Linked DNA regions of Oreochromis niloticus. The protein of the gene in region 2 purifies or fractionates together with the protein of the main gene of each other region. This does not show direct contact. Links are inferred from orthologs where the notes say so. Each region holds a gene or a part of one and is shown on either strand. Other genes may lie near its edges.

What was found. The genes of interacting proteins can lie anywhere in the genome.
Region 1: the proteins of retreg1 (region 2) and map1lc3a purify together in Homo sapiens (affinity purification with western blotting; 3 studies listed by BioGRID and IntAct, with this or other methods). This does not show direct contact. The link is inferred for Oreochromis niloticus from reciprocal best matches to the Homo sapiens genes RETREG1 and MAP1LC3A.

Annotation. Positions count from the first base shown.
Region 1 is NC_031970.2:3,291,998-3,302,332, reverse strand, and holds the start of map1lc3a (microtubule-associated protein 1 light chain 3 alpha), read left to right. Parts: upstream 1-5,963; 5' UTR 5,964-6,103; coding exon 6,104-6,143; intron 6,144-6,209; exon of another isoform or gene 6,210-7,388; intron 7,389-9,047; coding exon 9,048-9,103; intron 9,104-9,577; exon of another isoform or gene 9,578-9,634; intron 9,635-10,113; coding exon 10,114-10,220; intron 10,221-10,335. Other genes in the region: dynlrb1 (dynein light chain roadblock-type 1), read left to right, coding at 1,467-1,469, 1,781-1,856, 3,131-3,298, 3,435-3,478. UniProt on the Homo sapiens protein: Ubiquitin-like modifier involved in formation of autophagosomal vacuoles (autophagosomes). While LC3s are involved in elongation of the phagophore membrane, the GABARAP/GATE-16 subfamily is essential for a later stage in autophagosome maturation.
Region 2 is NC_031982.2:31,490,231-31,500,710, forward strand, and holds the start of retreg1 (reticulophagy regulator 1), read right to left. Parts: upstream 4,765-10,480; 5' UTR 4,698-4,764; coding exon 4,513-4,697; intron 3,581-4,512; coding exon 3,432-3,580; intron 983-3,431; coding exon 952-982; intron 1-951. Other genes in the region: E3 ubiquitin-protein ligase RNF182, read left to right, coding at 8,828-9,691. UniProt on the Homo sapiens protein: Endoplasmic reticulum (ER)-anchored autophagy regulator which mediates ER delivery into lysosomes through sequestration into autophagosomes.

The sequences.
Region 1 (10,335 bases), on a different chromosome or scaffold from region 2:
TCATTGTTTCAATTTAGTTTTTATTGTTTAAAATGTTTAGTTTTAGTTCCGTTTTATTGGCTCCAGTGTCACTTTTAAACTTTGATGTTTTTATTGTATGGAGGGCATACTTCACAAAATCGTTTTTGGTTATAAAAATGTTTTCCACATCTATCATTATTTATTTATTTAGTTTTAAAATAACACTGATCTGCTGTCTTATATAAAGGCATGAATAACAACACCAGTCAAATCTGTTGAAAATGCTTAAAGTGTTTGATGACTTTGCTCCAAAGGTCTCAAAAAGCCTTTTTAAAGTTCAATTTCTCATTTTCTACTAAAACTTTCGTCCATCGCGTTCCTGTTGGTTTTACTTTGAGGGGTCCGTCTGTAAGCTTCCGGTCCAGTCTTGGCTGCTCACGTCTCACTTAACGTTGTCATTTTGTAAACAGGGTGGCCGCGCCCACCAATGATATGCAAACCATTCAGAAATAAATAAATAAAATAGAATAAAACGGAATAAAAATGTCCAGAGTTTTCCTACTAGATTATGCTTTTTTGTTGAACTGCACGACATTTTAAAGGGATAAGAATATGTAATTTTTACCACATTAAAAACTAAAGTGCAAGTTTTACTTTATCAGTTAATACATTTTAAGCCCATGTTTATAAAGCTTTCTAAAATACTGTATATGCAGTAAATATGCTATATTATTAATGTTTATTATTTATTTATTAAACGTAATCATCTGCTGTTTAAACTTTACCGAATCTGACGCTCTGAGATTAAATTAATGAAAATAAGTGAGAAAAAAAATATGAGTACAGTACAATTCTATAACCAATGTTTCGCCTCTTTTACCACTGAACTACAGTACGGTTAACTATTAGTTAATTAATTAGAAATAAATTAGTAACATGTCACTCACGCGGGACAATTTCTGCACTGTGAATGCGTTTTAGTTTCGTTAGTTTATTATCACAGGTATTCTGTTGTTTTATTGTATTATGATATATTATGATTTTGATTTAGAGGCTTTATCTTGTCTGTATTTCTTAACCAGAGTTATGCTTACAGAAGATTTGAATTGATGTTCTATATCATGAGAACCGCGTGACTTTACGGCTTTATCTGACCTGGGAAACCCCGGATCTTTGAAATCCCATGTTATGTTTTTAACCGAAGTGACTAAACAGTGTGATTTTTTTATGGTAACGATGCAGACCGTCCCACTTGTTTAATGTTATTTTTATATGACAAAGAAAAACCAGGACTTAAAATTGGAATTTATCAAGGCGAAAAGGAATAAAAGAGCCGGTGAAACATATGTATGAGAAGTCCGACTCTTCGGTTTGGACAGTAAACGTAGCAGTTGCCCCGGAGGTTCTTCTTCTTCGCCTGCCGTCAACAAAACCGGAGTGCTGGCTGCTAGTTTACAGAGCTTTGAGAGGGTTTTTTGGCACGAATTTGTACACAAAAAACGAAAATGGTAGGATAAGAGGACAGTTTGATAAGTATCTATTGAAACCGTTTACATATTTGGCCATCACACTGTAATTTACACAGGACGGAATTTAATAAATTGCTAACTAAAGCTAGCTTGCTTTTGCTAGTCGGGCGTTGTCAGTTCAGCAGACGACTGCAGCTTTATTTGTAACCTTTTCCCCCTTTGTGTTACCTTTAAACGCGCTCACTGGGAGATTATTTGAATTCTGTGTTTGTTGCGGTGTTAAATGATTTAAATCCGTTTATCAGCTCACATGAAATGACTGAGTTCTCACTGTTGTCTCCGTCCCTCAGGCTGAAGTAGAAGAAACTCTGAAGAGGATTCAGGGCCAGAAAGGAGTTCAGGGAATCATCGTCGCCAATTCAGAGGGTGAGACGACAATGATGTCGTTTTCCCTCCTCTTTTATAGACCTTTCCGCTCTTTGCGTGTTTCTAATTATGACTGCCACTGTGTGTTTTGCAGCTATAAGTCCTCCGGGGTCTGATCCAGAACACATGTTTAATAAACTCCGGGTTTGTTCAAACTGAGGCAAATTTTAGGGTTTATTTTTCCCGATAGTCGGTTACCATGATAACAGACACTGTGACCCTTCCCTAATCGTTTACCATGGTAACAGACCCTGTGAGCCTGTCTAACCTGCTCCCTGCAGGTGTTATCTCTGGCTCCTCCCCTCCTGTTACTCCTGAAACAGCCGACTGACCCTGGAACGCTGAAAACCCGGCTGGATCGATCATAATATTGATAATATCGGTACCAGTGTCAGTGTCAGATCGTGATACTTGATGCTTTACTTTCAGTGTGTTTCCTCAAAAAGTAGACATCCCTTTACAAACACAGTCCTCCTGCTCCTCCTCTTCCTCCTCCTCTCTGCCTCATTGTGTTTTGTTGTTGTGCTGTCACATGACTGGGTGGTGCTGAGCAAACACATGTAGGCTGTAGAGATAAAAAAGGAGCAATCTCACAGCTGTAAGCTAAAACGCCGCACACTGCCATGTGTAGGAAGGCGATTCGTGATCAGTTTATACAAACACATGAAAACAGAAGTGAGGAAAGAAACAAAGCATCCTTAGTGCTACAGCAGCATTCACTCATGTTTACGAATGACTTAAATCTTTTCTCTAATTAAATACAAAAAAAATCTTCCACATATTGATCATTGTTTCACTACCTGATCAATAACAAGTTAAACAACATTTAGTTTATAAAGAAAACATAACTGTCATTCGTGGAAAACAATCCTTCAAGCTGTGATAATTCCATAAAAATCAGGAATGCTTGTTTCATATATAAACTTTCACATGTGCTTTTTTCACTCTGTTAAATGTATTTGTTATTGATGTTTTTGTTTTGGTCTGCTGGGTTTCATTGAGCCCTGTTCCTTTAATGTACCACACTTACATTTTCCTTGGTACATAATAAAGCTGGAATCCCATCAAATTGTGAATTTAAATAATTTAGCTGTAACCTGACAGGACAAAATGCTACTGAAGACAAAACTATTTTCCTTCTTCGTCCCATTTTTAATTACTTTTTTTTTTTTTTTTTGAGTAATTGAAATCTATTTTACTGTCACGCTTCAGTTTCAGCAGCAGAGAACCAGTAAAATAAGGTGTGATGTGGTTACTGGGTGTTTTCCCTTCAGGAATCCCCATCAAGTCGACTCTGGACAACTCGAGCACGGTGCAGTATGCCGGGCTGATCCACCAGCTGGTGATGAAGGCCAGGAGCACCATCCGAGACATCGACCCCCAGAACGACCTCACCTTCATGCGCGTGCGCTCCAAGAAGAACGAGATCATGATCGCTCCAGGTGAGAGCATCTGATGGGAAATATTAAAATGCCCATTATTCGGATTATTTCCTGGCCAAAACGGCTGGATATGAACATTTAAGATGGTTTCGTTCCTGAAGTTGTTTTTTTTTTTTTTTTGCCTTTTTCTTCACAGATAAAGACTTTTTCCTCATCGTCATCCAGAATCCATCAGATTGAAGATGAAGGAGCTGACATCTGGCTGTTCGCTCTCTTTATCACTCTCATTTAAACGGCCCATTTTCTTTTTCTCGTTAAATCAAAAATTGTGTTTAGCAGAAGCTTTTTCACGGGAAGTAATGTTGTAAGGTCAGGATGTGAAGGTGGAGATGTGTGACCCCGAGGACGGTCAGTCAGCCTGCAGGAGGTTTTTTGGGTTGTTTTTTTCCCATGTTTTAGCATTCCAACTCCTCTGTGTGTGTGTGTGTGTGTGTGTGTGCGCGCGCGCGCGTGTGTGTGTGTGTGTGTGTGTGTGTGTGTGTGTGTGCGCGCGCGTGCGCGTACCTCATGTCACTGTTTATTTCATGTGTAGCAAGCAGCCAGACGTGCACGCCGAAACACGAGTGAGCAGTGAAGTCGCAGACATATGACTGGAGCAGAGCACGCTGGTCTGCAGAGGTCCAGTATACGAGGCAGAACAAAGGACGTGCTTTGTTTTATTTGGCCCACCTTAAAGGAAAACTGCAGATTGTTATTTATTGTTTTGATGGTTAAAAATGTTAAGGAGCAGTATTTCACCTGTGAGCAGAGAGCGACACTACAAACACGTCCCTGCTCTCGCGTCAAGTTTCTGTTCATTTGTAACAATTCTGAAATACAAAAATTGAAAACGGTCCCGTGTCTTTGTCTTGTTACTGGTTTTTGTTGTTGTTGTTGTTTTTTGTTTTTTTCTTGTTTAATAAGAGACTCATGCATCTATCAGCGGCTAAGAGTGCTTAACTTGAGTGTTCTGGTAAAAAGGAGGAAGCAGATAAAACTACTTGAACTATCATCCAGTTGCTTGGTTACACATTCAGGAGATAAAAAGAGGTCAGCATGTCACCTCAAGGAAAAACATCCAAAAACAACCCAGCAGAAAAGCAGCTGCTGAATGATGCTTGATGTTAGGGTTACGACGTAGGAGGGACACTAATTTTGACTCATTATTGAAAATAACAGGACATGACTGCATGTGTAGAGTCAGTAATTACATCTGGTTTAAAAATGCTTTGATGCACCTCAAAACGAGAGTTTAAAAAAGCTTTTTTTCAACGTCTGGAAGTTAAAAGTCTGCTGCTGTAGTTCTGCCAAAGATTTGATTTCAGGACTCTGAGGGCCATGTTTCAGTCATAGTGTCTCTGACAGATCACTGCAGAGAAGAACTGCAGAGTCAGCTGGTAGGTTTCAGCTGATGCGTCTGCTAAAAGCAATCATTTTCACATTTCATGGTCGTTTCATTCTTTTGTGCATCGCTTAAAAATCATCTTCAGCTGCAAGATTCGTTTCTTACACACTGCTGGGAGTTCTGTACACAGTACAAAGTAAAATATTTGCGTCTAAAATATAACAGAAGAAAAGTCAAAAGCAACATAATACAAATATTTTTACTTCAACCGTGACCTCAGTTCCAGAAAATCTGGGAAACTGTAAAATGCAATCATTTGCAGATCTAATAAACCCATTTTTCTGTACAATAGAACATAGAAAACATGTCAGATGGTTTAATTGAGAAAATGTTCTGAGGCTTGTTCCTTACACAAAAAGATTTCTCCAGATTCTCAGAATCATTCGGGGATATCATTTATTGTAGATCAGGAGATATTCAGTGTTTAAATTAGAAACAACATTCTGAAAATGTTCCACAGTTTTTATTTGTATTCCCAAACATATTACTTATCTGTTGCCAGTGAATCACAGACATGCTAAATGTTCCTCCAGCTGTGTTTTTAGCACTGCTCACTTTTCCAGCCTTTCATTGCCCATCTCCCATGGGCGAATAAAATATGAGTTTATGAGATCTGCAAATGATTGCATTCGTTATTTCAAATTTACATTTTATTCAATTTAATTTTTTTTAAATTGGGGTTTTACATTAAAACTTTAGTAAAGTACTCGTATTACATTCCACTACAGCTCATATCTCGTTAATTCTCCCAATAACACTCAGTTTTGCCTTCCTGTCTTTATAAACAGTCAACAAAGGCAGAAAGTACAAACAAAGTAAAAACATCCAAAAATAACAGCAAATGAACACAAAATATTCATAATCAAAACATGGAAGATGATACACAAAATGATCATAGAAGGAGAAAAATGGATAAAATCAACACAGCTGATGAAAAGTACAGAGAAAATGTCTATGAACACAAACAAAACCATCAGAGTTCACTGGGACACCCCATCCCCCACCTTGTACCAGTTCATTTAAAACAAACCTAGGAACGCCCCTGCTGAAGCAAAACACAGCCTGACATTACAGCTGATTCACGAACCTTTCATCATTTCCTCTCAGTACAAAATGAAGACGCTGCTGTGTCTGTTAAACTCTGAATCACCGTGTGAATCACGGGCTTGGGTGTATAACTGGTTAAACTTTGCACTTCTGTTAACGTGAATGTAAAGCTGCTCTCTGGGTTCAGGGATCGATGCACGGCCCCTTTAAATGCAGCGGGTGACGTCAGAGGCTCGGTTTACTGTCTTTGTTTGTCCGGAGCTGTTTTGGCTTCAGACGAACCAGAGACTCGAACCGAAGAGACGGACCTGCGCTGCTTGCTGTAACGATTGCGTTATTCATTAGTGTATAACAGATTAATAACCGGGACCGAGATGCCGTCCGACAGACCCTTCAAACAAAGGAGGACATTTGGTAAGAAAGCCCCGGGGAAGGTGTTATTTACCTGGCTTAAGTGCCTGCAAACAGCCGCTGAGCTGCTAGCCCGTTAGCCGCCTAGCTCAGCTCTTTGTATTTAGAGTGCAGACAAACGGTGTCGGTGCTGGGTTACTGTAACTGCTACAAGTGTCCGGGAGCCAGGGTAGGTAGGCTAACAGAGTATTTCTTTTAGTGGCGAATCAAAGGTGAAAATCCCGTTTTTACTGTGTGAGGCAGCATCCTCCGGGCCGAGAGGTGTTAAAGGGCCATCTGGGTCACTGTCCGGCTAGCTCGCAGCCAGCTAGGCCTCCGTTTACACGGCCGGATCATCTCACTGATCTGTGTTTGCTGAAAGGAAAAACAACATGTGCTGACACATTATCCCAATACACGTGTTCAGCGATTTATGTTGAAATATGAGGTCGAGAGACAGCCCCCCAGAGCCGGGCAGGGAGGAGCCCGGAGTCGGGCTCGTTGCATAATCTTTCCATTTACAGAGAAGCAGCAGAGATGCAAGAAACGCTGCATTCACCGCCTTCTGCTCTGTGCTTATAACCTGCTTTCAGCCGCTCTTGTAGACCTGTGCGTGCTGTTTGTTTAGCAGCTGTTTGCATTGTGTCACACTGACACACATTACAGACGAGTTACACAACAGGGGACATGTTTACCACACTTGGAGTTACTATAATACGCTTTCCAGTTCACTTTTATTCATATAGCACCAGTTCATGTTAGGGTAAACACCCCCAGAACCCCAACAATCAGATGATCTCCTGTGAACTGCACTTGACGACGGTGGGGAGAATGAACACCCATTTAATGGGAAGATGCCATTGTCAGGGACAAGCAGCCATCTGCCTCCACCTTTTGAAGGAGGGCAAAACAAACCACAGAAGAGAAAACAGCCAGTCGTCTGTTTATTGCAGCAGATACAACAATGTTTTCAAAAGACTCACACAGCAAATATTTAAACGCTTCATTAAAAAGTCGCTCTCGGACGACTAAGATTTCAGTGTAAACATTAGTGAAGACGGGCGTAGCGACTGCACCATCATAAATCCTGTTATGAAGCCCTGAGCTGAGCGTGTGCCCCGTCGCCATCTTGTTTGGATTGAGCCTATCAACAGGAAAGAGTTTACTGAGGGGCCGTTTTCCCATGAACCTCTTCAAATCTCCAACCAGATTAGTCGCCCTCTGCTAGCCATAAAAAAAAGGATGGATCATTGTTTCAGCATCTTCTTCCTGAAATTTGATGGTAGACGAAGAAAGAAGAAGACGTGATTAATAAAGACAGACTTCAGCCTTGGTTGTATTCAGTTGCCGACACAGACGGCTGGAAGCACAACGGCTGAGTAATCATTCCTGTTGTGCCGCTGCCTGGGGTGCATGGTAGTTGGTGCATTGTAATGCAAATTCTCTGTGGACAAGTCTTCACGATCACAAAAAAAATCAACAATCACCGTCTGATAGCAAAATTTCTTTCACTTGTGTCCTCGTGGATGTGAAAAGTATAATCAAGGCTGTGACGAGCAGACAGATGGTTCAGGGTCACCTGCTCCAGCCCTAACCTCATAAAGCTTATCAGAAAGGAAAATGTGAAGCCTGATCTTAGAAGTGGGAGGTGTGACTCTCTCCAGGAGCCCAGTGAGGACGAATATTTCTGAATATTTAGATTCAAACTGAAGACAGGTGTTCTTGCAGAACCTGGAGCAGGACTGTAGCTGGCTCCCAATAAACACCTCCACACTGAAACAAAGGAGCCATTCACACTCAGCTGCTGCTGCTCTGAGCCACCTGAGCTTTGAACCCGACCAGTATTTGAAAAAGGAAAAGCAGTTTTTCTGAAATAGGCCAGTAGGAGGTTCAGAGAGGGCAGCATGCTGTAAAATTAGATAGTGAGGCAGTAAAAAGAAAAAAGAAAAAAACATTGCAAAGCTTAAATGGGTACTGAAAGGAAGCCTGCGGAGGATTAAAGGAGACGTTTAACATAATAATGATATGCAAAGCTGTGAAGAGATGCAAACTTCAGAGCTCTGCCTCGAAAAGAGAAAAGACTTAGTGTGGAAGAAGAGGGGGAAATACACAAAGAGACTGATGTTAATTAGCCACGTCGTTAAACAGATCCTCTCTGACTACACCTAGTTTACTATCATGTCATTTTTTTTCATCACTTTTAAGAAGCTTTAACCAATCTTTAGCTGAAAAGTGACTAAAATGATCATTCAGTCAGTTGACTGTGTAGTTCACTGACTAATTGTTGCAGCTGTGTGGGTGAATGGATCTCTGCACTGCACTAAACAGCTCCGTGATCTCTGTATGCAATCACACATCACACCAGAAATGAAACGTTACAATAGCCACAGCTGCCCTGGGGCGCACTGACAGAGGCGAGGCTGCCGGACACTGGCGCCACCGGGCCCTCTGACCACCACCAGTAGGCAACGGGTGAAGCGTCTTGCCCAAGGACACAACGACCAAGACTGTCGGAGCTGGGGCTCGAACCGGCAACCTTCCGATTACAAGACGAACGGCCACGATCGCCCTTCATAAAAGCTCATACTGAGCGGTAACCAGCTGCCCCACTGGTGAAGTCACCATCATGGCCACAGCATCCTTGGTGAGCTCAGCGCAGCAGCACATTAAGCAGGTTCTGGTTAAACTGACCCTACAGAGGTGACGGATGGCTCCTGTCACCAGCGGGTGGAGCTGGAGTCTGTCTGATTACAGGACTCGAGACATCATCCACCTGTCCAGCCTCACTGTAGGGAAGCAGACATGAAGTCAGAGTTAGCTGGTTGTCATTGGCTGGACTTTCAAAATAAGAACGAGGATGGTTCCTCTTTCGACCGAACAAGAAATGAACTTTCTGTTTTTGTGACCATTTGTGTCTTTTGTCCACAGCTGACCGGTGCAAAGAGGTCCAGCAGATCCGTGAGCAGCACCCCAACAAGATCCCCGTAAGCTGCTTCACACCTAATCACACCACACTTCACTGAGCTTTGTTAGTGGGAATAAAGATGATTCCACTGGGATGAACCGGAGGTTACCAGAGTGCAGGAAGCAGAGGTTGGAGTGTCTGAAAGCAGCAAATCAAACCAGTCTCCAGTTCAGAGGGATCGATGTGATGCTTTGGTCCACAGTTGACCTTGTACTAAGAATGTCTTCCAGTCAGAGATTATATATAAAGCTCTAGATCATATTTCCCAGAACAGGTTTTAATCTAACATAGAGTTTTGTTAATTTTGTCTTTGTGAGCTAAAATTTCAGATGTGACTTTAAATAATTACCTCAAAGTCTTACAGCTCACTGACTCCCTGTGTAGTTACACATTTGTGTGCTGTTATATTTCCATACAGCAGGAAAAAAGCCAGAAAATCAGGTTTCAACCACAGACTGTACATAAAAGATGGGCATCATTAACATCATCTCACCTGTTGTTGAGTCCTATTTCAGAAACTTCAAAGCAGAGTGTTTTCCATCTTAACTGTCTGGAAGCAAAGTGCAACTGTTGTTTACAAAACATCGTGTTTTATTTTGACAGACTTGAGGCTAGCAAGCGCGACACACGAACTCACCGAGACAGTTTACTGAGGTCACAGAGAGAGGAAGCTCAGGGATGTTTTCCCTCATAGACTTTTATACAATCAGACTTTTTGCAAACAGGGGAGTCGCCCTCTGCTGGCCATTAGAAAGAACATGTTAAAATGTCCGAGACGCTCACACTCATGGCTGTGCGGGTAATCGCTCCAACAAATCATCCAAGAAGTCTGAGGTTCAGTTCAAATATGGCCACTTGTAGTTTTAAAGAACATGGCATCAGCTAAAATGCTAAAATCAAGCCTACAGAGCAGAAGTTAAACCAACCACAAACTTCATGGTGGCTGTGTGCATCTTTTGTATACAGTCTATGTTTGTAGGGCAGAGTCTTTGTCTTAGTGACACTCGTCTGTGTGCTTTGTGCCTGCAGGTGATCATTGAACGGTATAAGGGAGAGAAACAGCTGCCCGTTTTGGACAAGACCAAGTTCCTGGTACCGGACCACGTCAACATGAGCGAGCTGGTCAAAATCATCAGGTAAGCAGAGCTGCACCAGCACTGCAGGTTATTAGCTGGCATGTGTGCATCTGTGTGTGTGTGTGTGTGTGTGTGTGTGTGTGTGTGTGTGTGTGTGTGTGTGCAGCTGTCAGTG
Region 2 (10,480 bases):
ACTTGTCACGAGACAAAGAAAGACAATAACAATCTTGTTTCCCCATTCTGTTACTTCCTGTTTTATTTTGGTATTTGTTGTTCTCTCTTGTTATGTTTTCTTCAACTGTGTTCTCCACCTTTTTTCATTTGCCTCATTAGCTGTCTGTACTGTCTCAGTCGTCCCTTTGTCCTTTGTCACATCGCCTACATTGTTATGTCTCGTTGCTGTGTGTTCCCTAAGAATTACATTCCTAGTTATCCCTGGTATTTATATTCCCTGGCTCTGTTTGGTAAATGTTTTGGATTTTGGGAGTTTATTTATTTCTTATTTATTTATTTCTTGGTGCTACAAGCATTACAGGTTCAGTTTTAGTTAAAATTCAGTTTCTGGCATAATATTGTGCATATGTCCAAACTCAAAAAGAGATCATAGCTAGAGGTGATTCATGAAGCTCCACTGTGTAACGGCACCACACTGCTGCGAGTCGATTCTTTCTGCAGTTGAACAACAGAGTGAGACATCTGATTACTGAAGCTGATTACATCAACTTGATTTCAGGAGTCACAAACATCCAATTAAACTTTCCTTCATGTGATATCAACAATTTAAGCTGACCAACTTTTTGTTTTTCAGCCAGGATCCTCTTCACCTTTCAGTTTGTGAAAAACAAGTTGTGTCAGACATCGTTTAAATCAGCATCTAAGATCAGATCTGAGCAGAAGCTTGATGCAGATATGTTTGTTCTTAATTTCGTTGTTTAAATTGACTTCACTGTCCTATGGATGCCTTCAGGTTCAGGAAACAATGAATACCGCATTAGCATCTTCACCAATATGAAGATTTCTTCCTTCAGAGTAGCCCTGCGTCTCTGATATGTTTTAAAATCCAAACACTCCCATTGTAATTTTCACCAAACAAACAACATTAACAAACCTGCACATCACAATCACCTGCACTTAAATGTCTTACCTTGTTGTCATGCTGTGCCATAACTGAGCTCCTGTGAAAAAAAAACCCAGATGTGTTATTCATCAGCACTCACGCGCTCACACCCACTACAGAAACAGTAAAAAAGTTTCTTTGTTACATTTTAGTTATTTTCTTGATATCTGTCAGCTGTAGCAGTTTACTAACATCAGTACCAATAAAAAGCAGGCAGCTGGCAGACGGATGGTGATGTCCCGGTGAACTGTGGCAAAGAGAGAGCTGAGCCTGAAGGCTTAGCTATTGATTTATTGGATGATCTACATTCCTGCCCTCACCTATCGAGCTGTTGGTGGTGACAGTAAGAATATCCCCTAAACCCGGATAGGTGGTAGAAAATGAATGGATGGAAACAATGAAAAAATGGCTGGAGCAAACTGTAATGTAGTTACCACAAGCTATGATTGGGCACTAATGTAATATAACAACCATGTAATAAAATAATGTTAAAAGAAACATAATTTGTAGATGAAATAAATGCTTAACAAAGTCCCTTTTCATGTTTCCAACCACAGGTTAATGGGATATAATGCTTTTATTGCGTGTTGATATAGTGCTAATGATTACTGTGATGCTATGAAATTATACTTAATGACGTGAAGTATGCAAAAACAGATTTCTTTAATAGAAGTGTTAGGTAATGATAATGAAAGTTTTCTACAAAGAGAAAACTATACTGATAACATTAAACTTAAATAACTGCTGACATCAGGAGTCCAATGTGTTTAAAGTGTAATTGTGAGCAACAGTCAGGCTGATGAGTCACTATCCGCCATGAAAGATGATGTCTCATCCTTACTCATCGGGCTAATGAGCCAGGATGAAGCTGCAATCACGTAAACATCCGAACCAAATAGATTTGGTTGGTTTCAAAGCAGCCATTTATAACTCTGGTGAGGGAACATCTTGGGTTTAACCTGAATGGCTTATTTATTTCATTTTAATTTTCCTCTTTATTTGTCAGGGATGGAAAAAAACATTAATCTACTAATAAAAAAGATCCACTGTATCAGATTTAGCTGTTAGCTATTTTTTATCCGCAGTCCCTGCAATAGAAATATATAAAAAGACATCGTCAATAAATAAATTATAGTAATAAAAATGCTGTTGACAATTCAACATAATAGACCAAACATTTACCAGTTATTTCAAAACCACAGACAGTATCCACATCCCATATATCCATCACCCTCTCTCATAAATATCAAATACATCTAAATAATATATAAAAGCCTCTCTATAACATCAGGGGGAAAAAGAGTAGAAATGTATGCTAGTTTTCAGGTGTTCAGGAAGCTTCCTCCATTCTCTGACAGCTTTAAAAGAAAATCAGAGCTCCTCATTCATTCGATGCGTCTTTTTGCAAATGTTTTATATTCTTGTCAACAGTCCTGTTAGTTTATAGGTTTGTGCTACAGCCACATCACAATCCTCCCCTTAAACACTCCCTGGTGCTTCCTTTTTTCTCTGTCTTGTGTTTGTTTGGTGCCCTCCCCCCTTGTTTGTCTGTCTGTCTGTGTTTTTGTTGTGGATGGGTGTGGGCGAGGTCTCCCTTATACCTGGCTCCCAGCTCTGCTCATCCTGCACACCTGCCAACAATCAGCCTCACCCAACCTGTTCATCTGCTTTCCATCATCTCCACCGTGTTAACGTTTTCTCCAACCATTCCTCGCCACAATGCAGTTTCTACCTCAGTAATAACACCAAATTAGAACTTAATTGTAGCAAATCTGTTCTAATATTTCTTATCACAAAGCTTTCTCCATTTTTTCTTCTTCAGGAACATCACCCAGCTGCCCGTCAGTCTGCTTCTCCCTCTGACTACCTCAGCTTCTTACACTCTTATCCCACTAAAACCAGCTTCAACCTCCTTTACACACTATTAAGATCTCTGATTAGTAAAAATTATTTGGTTTTGCCCTGTACTTGGGTTCCACCTTTACAGTCTTGGTTGTAATAGATCATTCATTATTTTCTATAATTAGGGTATTTTTATTTTTTTACATCTTCTAATCTCAGTGTCTGTCTTCTTTTTAATTATCAGGGGTTGGTTACTCCCACAAAGGCCCCGCATACATTATTATGCTATTACTACATCTGCAGCAAAAGTGGTCCTGACAATAATCTGTCCATTTTCTCAAACTCTGGATGCGACGCTGACGCCCTGCACCAGCTTTTGGTTCACAGTGATATTACACAAGAGTGCAGCCTGGCCCTATTTCAGCATCACTTGATGTCTCTGTCACATAATACACAGACTCCTGGGACACAAAGTCATCACTTAAAAGTTTTTAAACTGATTTCAAGCAACTTTTTAAAGTACCTTTACACACCTTGTGCACTTTGACAAACACTTTAGTATCAGTTGGTCTTTGATCGGTGTCAGTATTTGTATTTAAATGTGTTTTGGGGAAGTTATAACTGAAGATCCAGAGTTATGAGATTAAGGCAAGGCAGTTCCTTACTAGTTATTCTTCTCTTTAATCGGCTGATCATTTGGGGGTTACCTGCGGATCTGGACCGAATTACATCTCGGGTGGTGACCGTGATGACCAGCAGGGCCAGGAGGACAGCTAGGAGGGTGTAGGCCCGAAACGAGCCAAAGGCCACAAACCTGCAGGGAAACAGAACAAAAGTTTGACTCACAGCAGCTCACTCAGGTTGTTGTGATGCTCTCCACGGTTTAACTCTGTGGAAGTTTTAGCAGATCAATGTTTATTTTTGTACTGCAGCGTTTTATACAAGATGATAAAGCTTTATATTTTCATTTTTGGATATATAATTTTACATTAGTGGATGTTAAAAAAAAAACCTCACCATCTATTGTGGAGCTAAAATATTCTCATATTCTTTGGCTATTATGACCCTGTGGCACAATTTTGTGCTTTTCTGCTTCCCTTACTCAAAAAATCAGGATGCAAAATTATAACAGATCTGTGTAAGAAACACTTTATAACAGCAATCTATCTATCTATCCTCTTTCAGTGCATTAAGCAGAAGCACTGCAGCAGTATAGCAATACCGGAATATATAAAAATACAACTTATACAAACAAAATTAAATGAACACTATTTGGGGTTTTAAATGTTTTTTAAGACAAACAAACAAAACCTGGACGAATTTCATCTCAGGAAGTCCCAAATTATTATGATTTTTTTTTTGTTTGTTCATGGTGGTAGCGGTTTGTTTTGACAATGTCCCTGATACAGATATTACTGACGTCAAACACACCGAAAATATAAGAAAAATACAGAAAACAGTTGTAGCAGAGTATTTACAACCCCTTTTTAAAGATCGTCATCATTATTATTATTATTATTTGTGTGCGAAGTACAGATGAATTTAAAAGTAACAACATCAAAGGATTTAAAGATATAATAGAAAGAAAGGACTAAAGATGAAATAATTACGCCTTTAATGTGGAATTACTAGGATGTCATGTTTTTTTTAACAGTATATTCAAAATTTAACTTAAAGTCATAATTAATTTTTCTTTGATTAACAGGAGCTCAGTGCTGTGAGATATCCCTGCGTCATGATGCCTACCCGAACATCGCGTTGGCTGCAGCAAACAGGGCTGAAGTCCTGCATGGTCTCCGCCTCCAGCTGACCAGGCCGGTGAGGCGACACCCTGCGCGGCCGGGAAGGGTCTCCTGATCCCGGCTTGGCGGTCCGCCGGCCGCGGCCACCTGCCCACCTCCGGCGGTTCCTGCTTCCCAGCTCCCCAGCATTGAAAAACGACCGGGGTCCCTCCGCTCTGCCCCTCCGCTCCTTCAGCAGAGATGGGAGTGAAGTAAAGCGGAGACTTTACTGAGCTATGTCCGGTTCTGAGGTTTCAAAATAAGTGTCTCATAAAGCATTCACTTTTTGAAAATAGTCTAAATGTTCTTTTTGCAATGAAAACTAATGCGTTTAAATCATACAGTCTTATTAAATTACTTTTTATATCACGAATATGTAGTTTACATTATTATTCACAGAGCAAAGATACACAAGTGAAACAAATGCTGTAACAAAACATATGATTACCAATTAAAAAGTAGCATGAAAGTTATTTTTTAAAGAAGTATAAATGAAAATACAAGTAACTCAAAATTGTGCTTAAGTGATGTGTTTGAGTAAAGGTAGTCCTGCTCTTGAACAGTGCACAGAAGGGGTGAAATTAAAAGAAAGAAATGTACAACAATTTTCTATCATTTGTATTAATTTTTCTTATTTTAACCAAAGGGTGGTAACTTTATATTTGGAAACCTAGGTTCTACATTCTTATACCTGTAATTAAGCAATCATTAAAATTATCTGCATTTCTTTTTGGCATGTGTTTTTTTCTCCCTTTATTTTGAAAGACCAAATCATCATGCTTCCTGTATAATTGTCTCAACTTAAATCAGCTGCACACTTCCATTCCTGCCTCTTGTGTTGTTGTGGTTCAGGTTGGTGACGTCAGGTGTGTGTGTTTGTGTGTTAGTGTGTGTGTACATTTATTGGAGTGTAACGTCTTTTGTTTGTGCTTTATTGTTATCATTATATTGCCTGTGCGTGTAAAAGACGGAATTACTACTATATACTGTATATGTAACTACACCTACGTTAACTTCTTTAAGTACAATGGAATCAGATGTTTCTCAGCAGACAAAGTTAAAAGACTGAAGAATAGCTGCTTGATGCTGGTCTCCACCCATCCTGAAAGAGAAAGAGAAAGTCAATATTTAACTTCAGCATTCATCAGAGACCCATACTATGAATCTAAAGGGAGGGAACAGATCTGTTTATGCCCAAACTTTAAACATGCCTGGTTTCTAAGAAATAAGCTTGAACAGCTTGGTGGGTCATGCTTGTTTTTCTGCCCACTAGTGGTAAAAATCACTTAGTCCAGCTTTAAAATGAACTTTAATAAACACTGTGCAATAAAACAGTACAGAAATAAGACAAATGTCACTACAAGTGATTCATGTTATTGTTACTGGACAGCCTGTGTTTGAGTTTCTTCCCACAGATCAACGAACATGTTTGGCTAGCTGAGATTCTAAGCTGCTGTAGACCCAGAGGTGAGATGGACGCAGCTTTAAGTAAAAGAAAAAACAAAACAAAAAACATATTATATTTTAACACTGAGGTACAAAATGTTGCAAGCGCTTCAGAGCTGTCAAAAGCTACAGACCAGGTTGTTTTGTTTTTTACATTGGAGCCTTTTTCATTCCTTCCATCATCCTTGTGCCTGACAATTTCAAAGAAATGCATCTTTTTTTTTTGCAAACTAAACTGCAAACTGAACTTACAAAAACATCCATCTCACTCAGGGGATGAAGTTGTACCTTCAGACACCAAGCTTTGTATCATCAGCTTGTTACAGAACCATATAATTTGTTTCTTCAGCTGATTCTGCAGAAAATCCCAAAGATAACACAGTTTGACAGACATAACATTATATTATTGCACCAACAAAAGTGTTTCTGAAAAGTGATTCTCAACATGGTGTGCAGTGTGTCATTAAAAAATTTAAAGGAATGGATCAGGGGAGCACAAAAAAGAAATGCCAAGTCTAAAAAATAAATATCTACAGCAGATGAAGAGTATCTCAAAGTCATGTCCTTAAAAAACAGGAAAAAATCCAGCAAAGACCTGATACATGAATTGGCTCAAGACTTTTGCACAGTACTGTACTTATTATAATGACCAAGATCAAAGTTTCCGTAATCTTTGTGACAAACTTTTCCCTTTGCATGTGCCAGTTTGCCATTTCAGGGTAAATCCAGTCCAGAAACCACAAAACCCGTTTAGTTGCAGTCTTTGAAATTATTGTGTGAGGCGATTGTGACTTTTAATGGGCACTTATCATTAGTTTTCTTAGTTTAATAATTAAAGTGGCAAACAGAACAACGGCTAAATGGCACTGCGTGAGAGATGGCAGGCTGGGCTACCACACTCGATGGAGTTAGAATGAGCCCATCTTAACGAGGAAAGCTCACATCTACAAAGAGACGTTGACCCATTTTGCTCTGCTGCCTGTGCTGTTCTGGCCGTAAATCAAGATCAGAGCTCACTGCCAAACCGGGATCTCCAACAATGACCTGCTCCACTTTCCACTGCTGGGTCCACTCCTTCAGTCCACACCAGTTCACCAATTGTGACACATATTCGCATCAGCGGGCCTGGTCTCAAATCATAGGTGTCTTTCACGGTAAGACATTTCTCTTTTCTTTGTTGTTTCAAATCCATAAGATTTCATGCAAAAACGTATAGCTGAAACAACCATCTGCACCCATCTAACCTGATAACTGGACACTAATACAGGAAATACTAAATGAAAACACAGGTTCTCATTTCGTAACATTATGCATGGTATTACATATTACACATCTGAGCCAATGCTTTTGTCACAGATGTGTGTAGATTTAGGTAGTGCTAAAAGGATTGTGAAAGATTTGTGTCTTTATTGATTAAAAAAGATAAAACCATGTCATCTACTAGATGTGAAACAGGACCCATCATCCACCCCCACCTCCACAGGATCTTTGTTTCTGAGACAGGAGTGTCATTAAACACATGGTGACACTCATAAAGATAGAAGTTATTTACCTGTTTAGAGTCTGTGAAGGTTCCCAGTCATCCAGGTCATCGTAGTCTAAGGAGCTTGGAAAGATCCGAGAAGCTTCTCGGATCTTTCCAAGCTCCTTAGACACCTCTCATCTGAGAAGCTTCTTGGATGAGAGATGAAACGTCTTCAAGCAACCTAAAGAAGTCCAGACACTTTTCTTTCCAAGCTCCTTGGACTACCTGTTTAGAGAAGTACCAGGCATTTCTGTAGGGATGGATGAAAAAACACATTTGTGTTTTTACTTGGGCACATAATTTTGCATATTTACACCCATGCTCACAAACACACACACCATACCATACCATAGTTTATTTATATAGCACTATGGCTGACCAAAGTGCTGCACAACACAGATAAAGTTATTTAAATAGAAACTCATTCAACCTTTCATGCACACTTATTTTTGCAGACCATTAACAGGGAGCTGCAGTTGTTGTCTGTTTGTGTGTGTTACCTGGGTTTTATCTATGCTGTGTGTTTACAATGCCACATTATGAGGGTGTGTCTTCCTCACAGAGGCAAAAATTTAATCCATGCTATGTAAATTATTAAAGGTGAGGACATGATTTGGGATTAGGTTGGGATGTGTGTAGGCAACTAGTGGTTAAGTCTACAGCAAGTGTTCAGGAAATGAAGGTAAGTCACTGCAATGTGCACTGAAGTCATGAATACAGTAGTGTGTGTATGTGTGTGTGTGTGTGTGTGTGTGTGTGTGTGTGTGTGTGTGTGTGTGTGTGTGTGTGCATCAGTCACTAATTGGGCTGAATTTCATGGAGCAACAAAAGATCAGACTCGAAAATTCCAGCTCTGGTTTGTACAGGCTCTGCTTTGTTGTCCTTTCGCCTCTGTTTGCTGTGTTAACAGTTATGTGTCTCCCTCCCTCTCTCTGTCTCTCACTCTCTCTCTCTTTAGGTCTTTCTCTCAGTGTCTCTCACCCTTCTCCCCCCTTTTTGTGCAGCTCATGAAAGGCTTTTTACTCCAAATGAAGCACGGTCAACCCAACTGCTTGGAGGCAAGCAACCGCCAGAGGCCGAATCCTGCGAGGGGCTTCACCTTCTCGCATGTCTCTCTTCTCGCTTCACATTGAAACACAGACACACACACACATTTTAGGAGACAGCTGCAATGAAGCCTAGATCTTCAGTGAAGAGGACCTTCATCAGTGTCTCCATCTATGGGAAAAGTGCTGGTGCTGAGCTTGGACTTGAGCTTTTGGTTGGATTTTGCGTTTGATCTTAGAGTTGGATAAAGTTTTAACACAGGATGATGCTAGAGATGCAAAACCCCGAGGATAGTGGTGGTGGTGTTGGAGGTTCTGGCTTTGTGGACATGCTGTGCACTGAAGAGATGGAGTGTAAGATCTGCTACTGCGCCTACAACCTGGGGAGTCGAAGGCCTAAGGTGCTTGAGTGCTGCCACCGTCTCTGCTCCAAATGTCTCATTAAGATCCTGGACTTGGGTGAGTCGCCTCCCAATGCCTTGGTGTGTCCGTTTTGTCGCTATCTCACCAGACTGCCGGGAGAAGCTGTGAGCAACCTGTCGGATGATTCCAACCTGGTGGCAAAGCTGGCCCTCCAAAACAGGAATCAGAGAAACCGTCAGTTCCACCAGGAGGCAACTACAGAACTGCTCCTAAGCCCCATGCGCCTGAGCTCACTGATGAGCAGCAATTCACCTGTGATATCTACTTCCTCCTCCACATCTTCCTCTACCCCTTACTCCACCATCCGCAGCTCCCCTAATTTTGTGGTCATTACTATCATGGAGCCTCCGCCAGCATCCATATCCACCCAAGACATCCATGCCTACCAGCAGATACATGGCTCTCACCTGTCAAACCAGGACTACCACTCATCCAGTCTGGACTCTATGGCATCCATCGCAGAGAGGTGGACGGTGTGGAACTGTGCAGCCCTCCTGTGCCAGACTTCAGCCCGGGCATTGGTATGGGTTCTGGGGCTCTTGTACTTTAGCTCCCTGCCTATGGGGGTTTACCTGCTCATAATGCAGAGGACAACACTCGGGGTGCTTCTGGTGAGCCTGGTTCCTGCCAGCCTCATCGTGATCATGGTCTATGGGTTCTGCCAGTGTATCTGCCATGAGTTCTGGGACTGCTTACCATCATAATGCAACCAAATGAACAGGCAATGCTTTGCTTTGAACATGCTTCACAATAGATCTCCAGAATTGACTAATGGGGATGTTACTGTCTAGCTAACCATGTGAACTGTTATTTGAATGGCATAAAAGTGGAGCTCATACATCTTAATTTGTGCAATTTTTAGGCTGATAATCACTTACCTAATAAAGCTCAAAATGTCAGATAGCTTTGACTAAAACACTACTTCTGAAGGAATCTGTTTAATTTAATGCATTATGACGTTATAGTTCAAAATCTAAAGGAATGTATAGACTGTTCTCATCTCCACATTGGTGTGGCTGATTTACATACAAGGTGTCCTCTTTAACTATTCCCTGATACATCAGGTTAGGTATTAAGCAGCCAGCTTTCTTCTGAGTGGCATGAGTGGCAAACATAAGGTTTGAACCAAAGGTGGGTGCAGCTCCTGTGGTCACAGCCAGAGCTGTGTACCTGAGATGATCATATTAGAGCTATCCTGTCATCATGCAGAGTGAAGATTAAAAATAAAACTGACAGAGTATTTAGATCAGCCTGAACTTTTGGCTGATTGGGATTACTTTCACATGACTAACATCATCATTTGAAATTTTGGCCATGTTTAGGCACGAGCATCCGCCACTGCAGCAGTACATATCTGAAAGAAAATGAGAAAAAACACAATAGGTACCTTTAATGGAGATATAATATGTAAAACGCAACTGCAGATCAGCAGCAGAGATCTTAAACATTGTCTCTGAGATCTTAAATTTGATTTTAAACACACTCATTGCCTG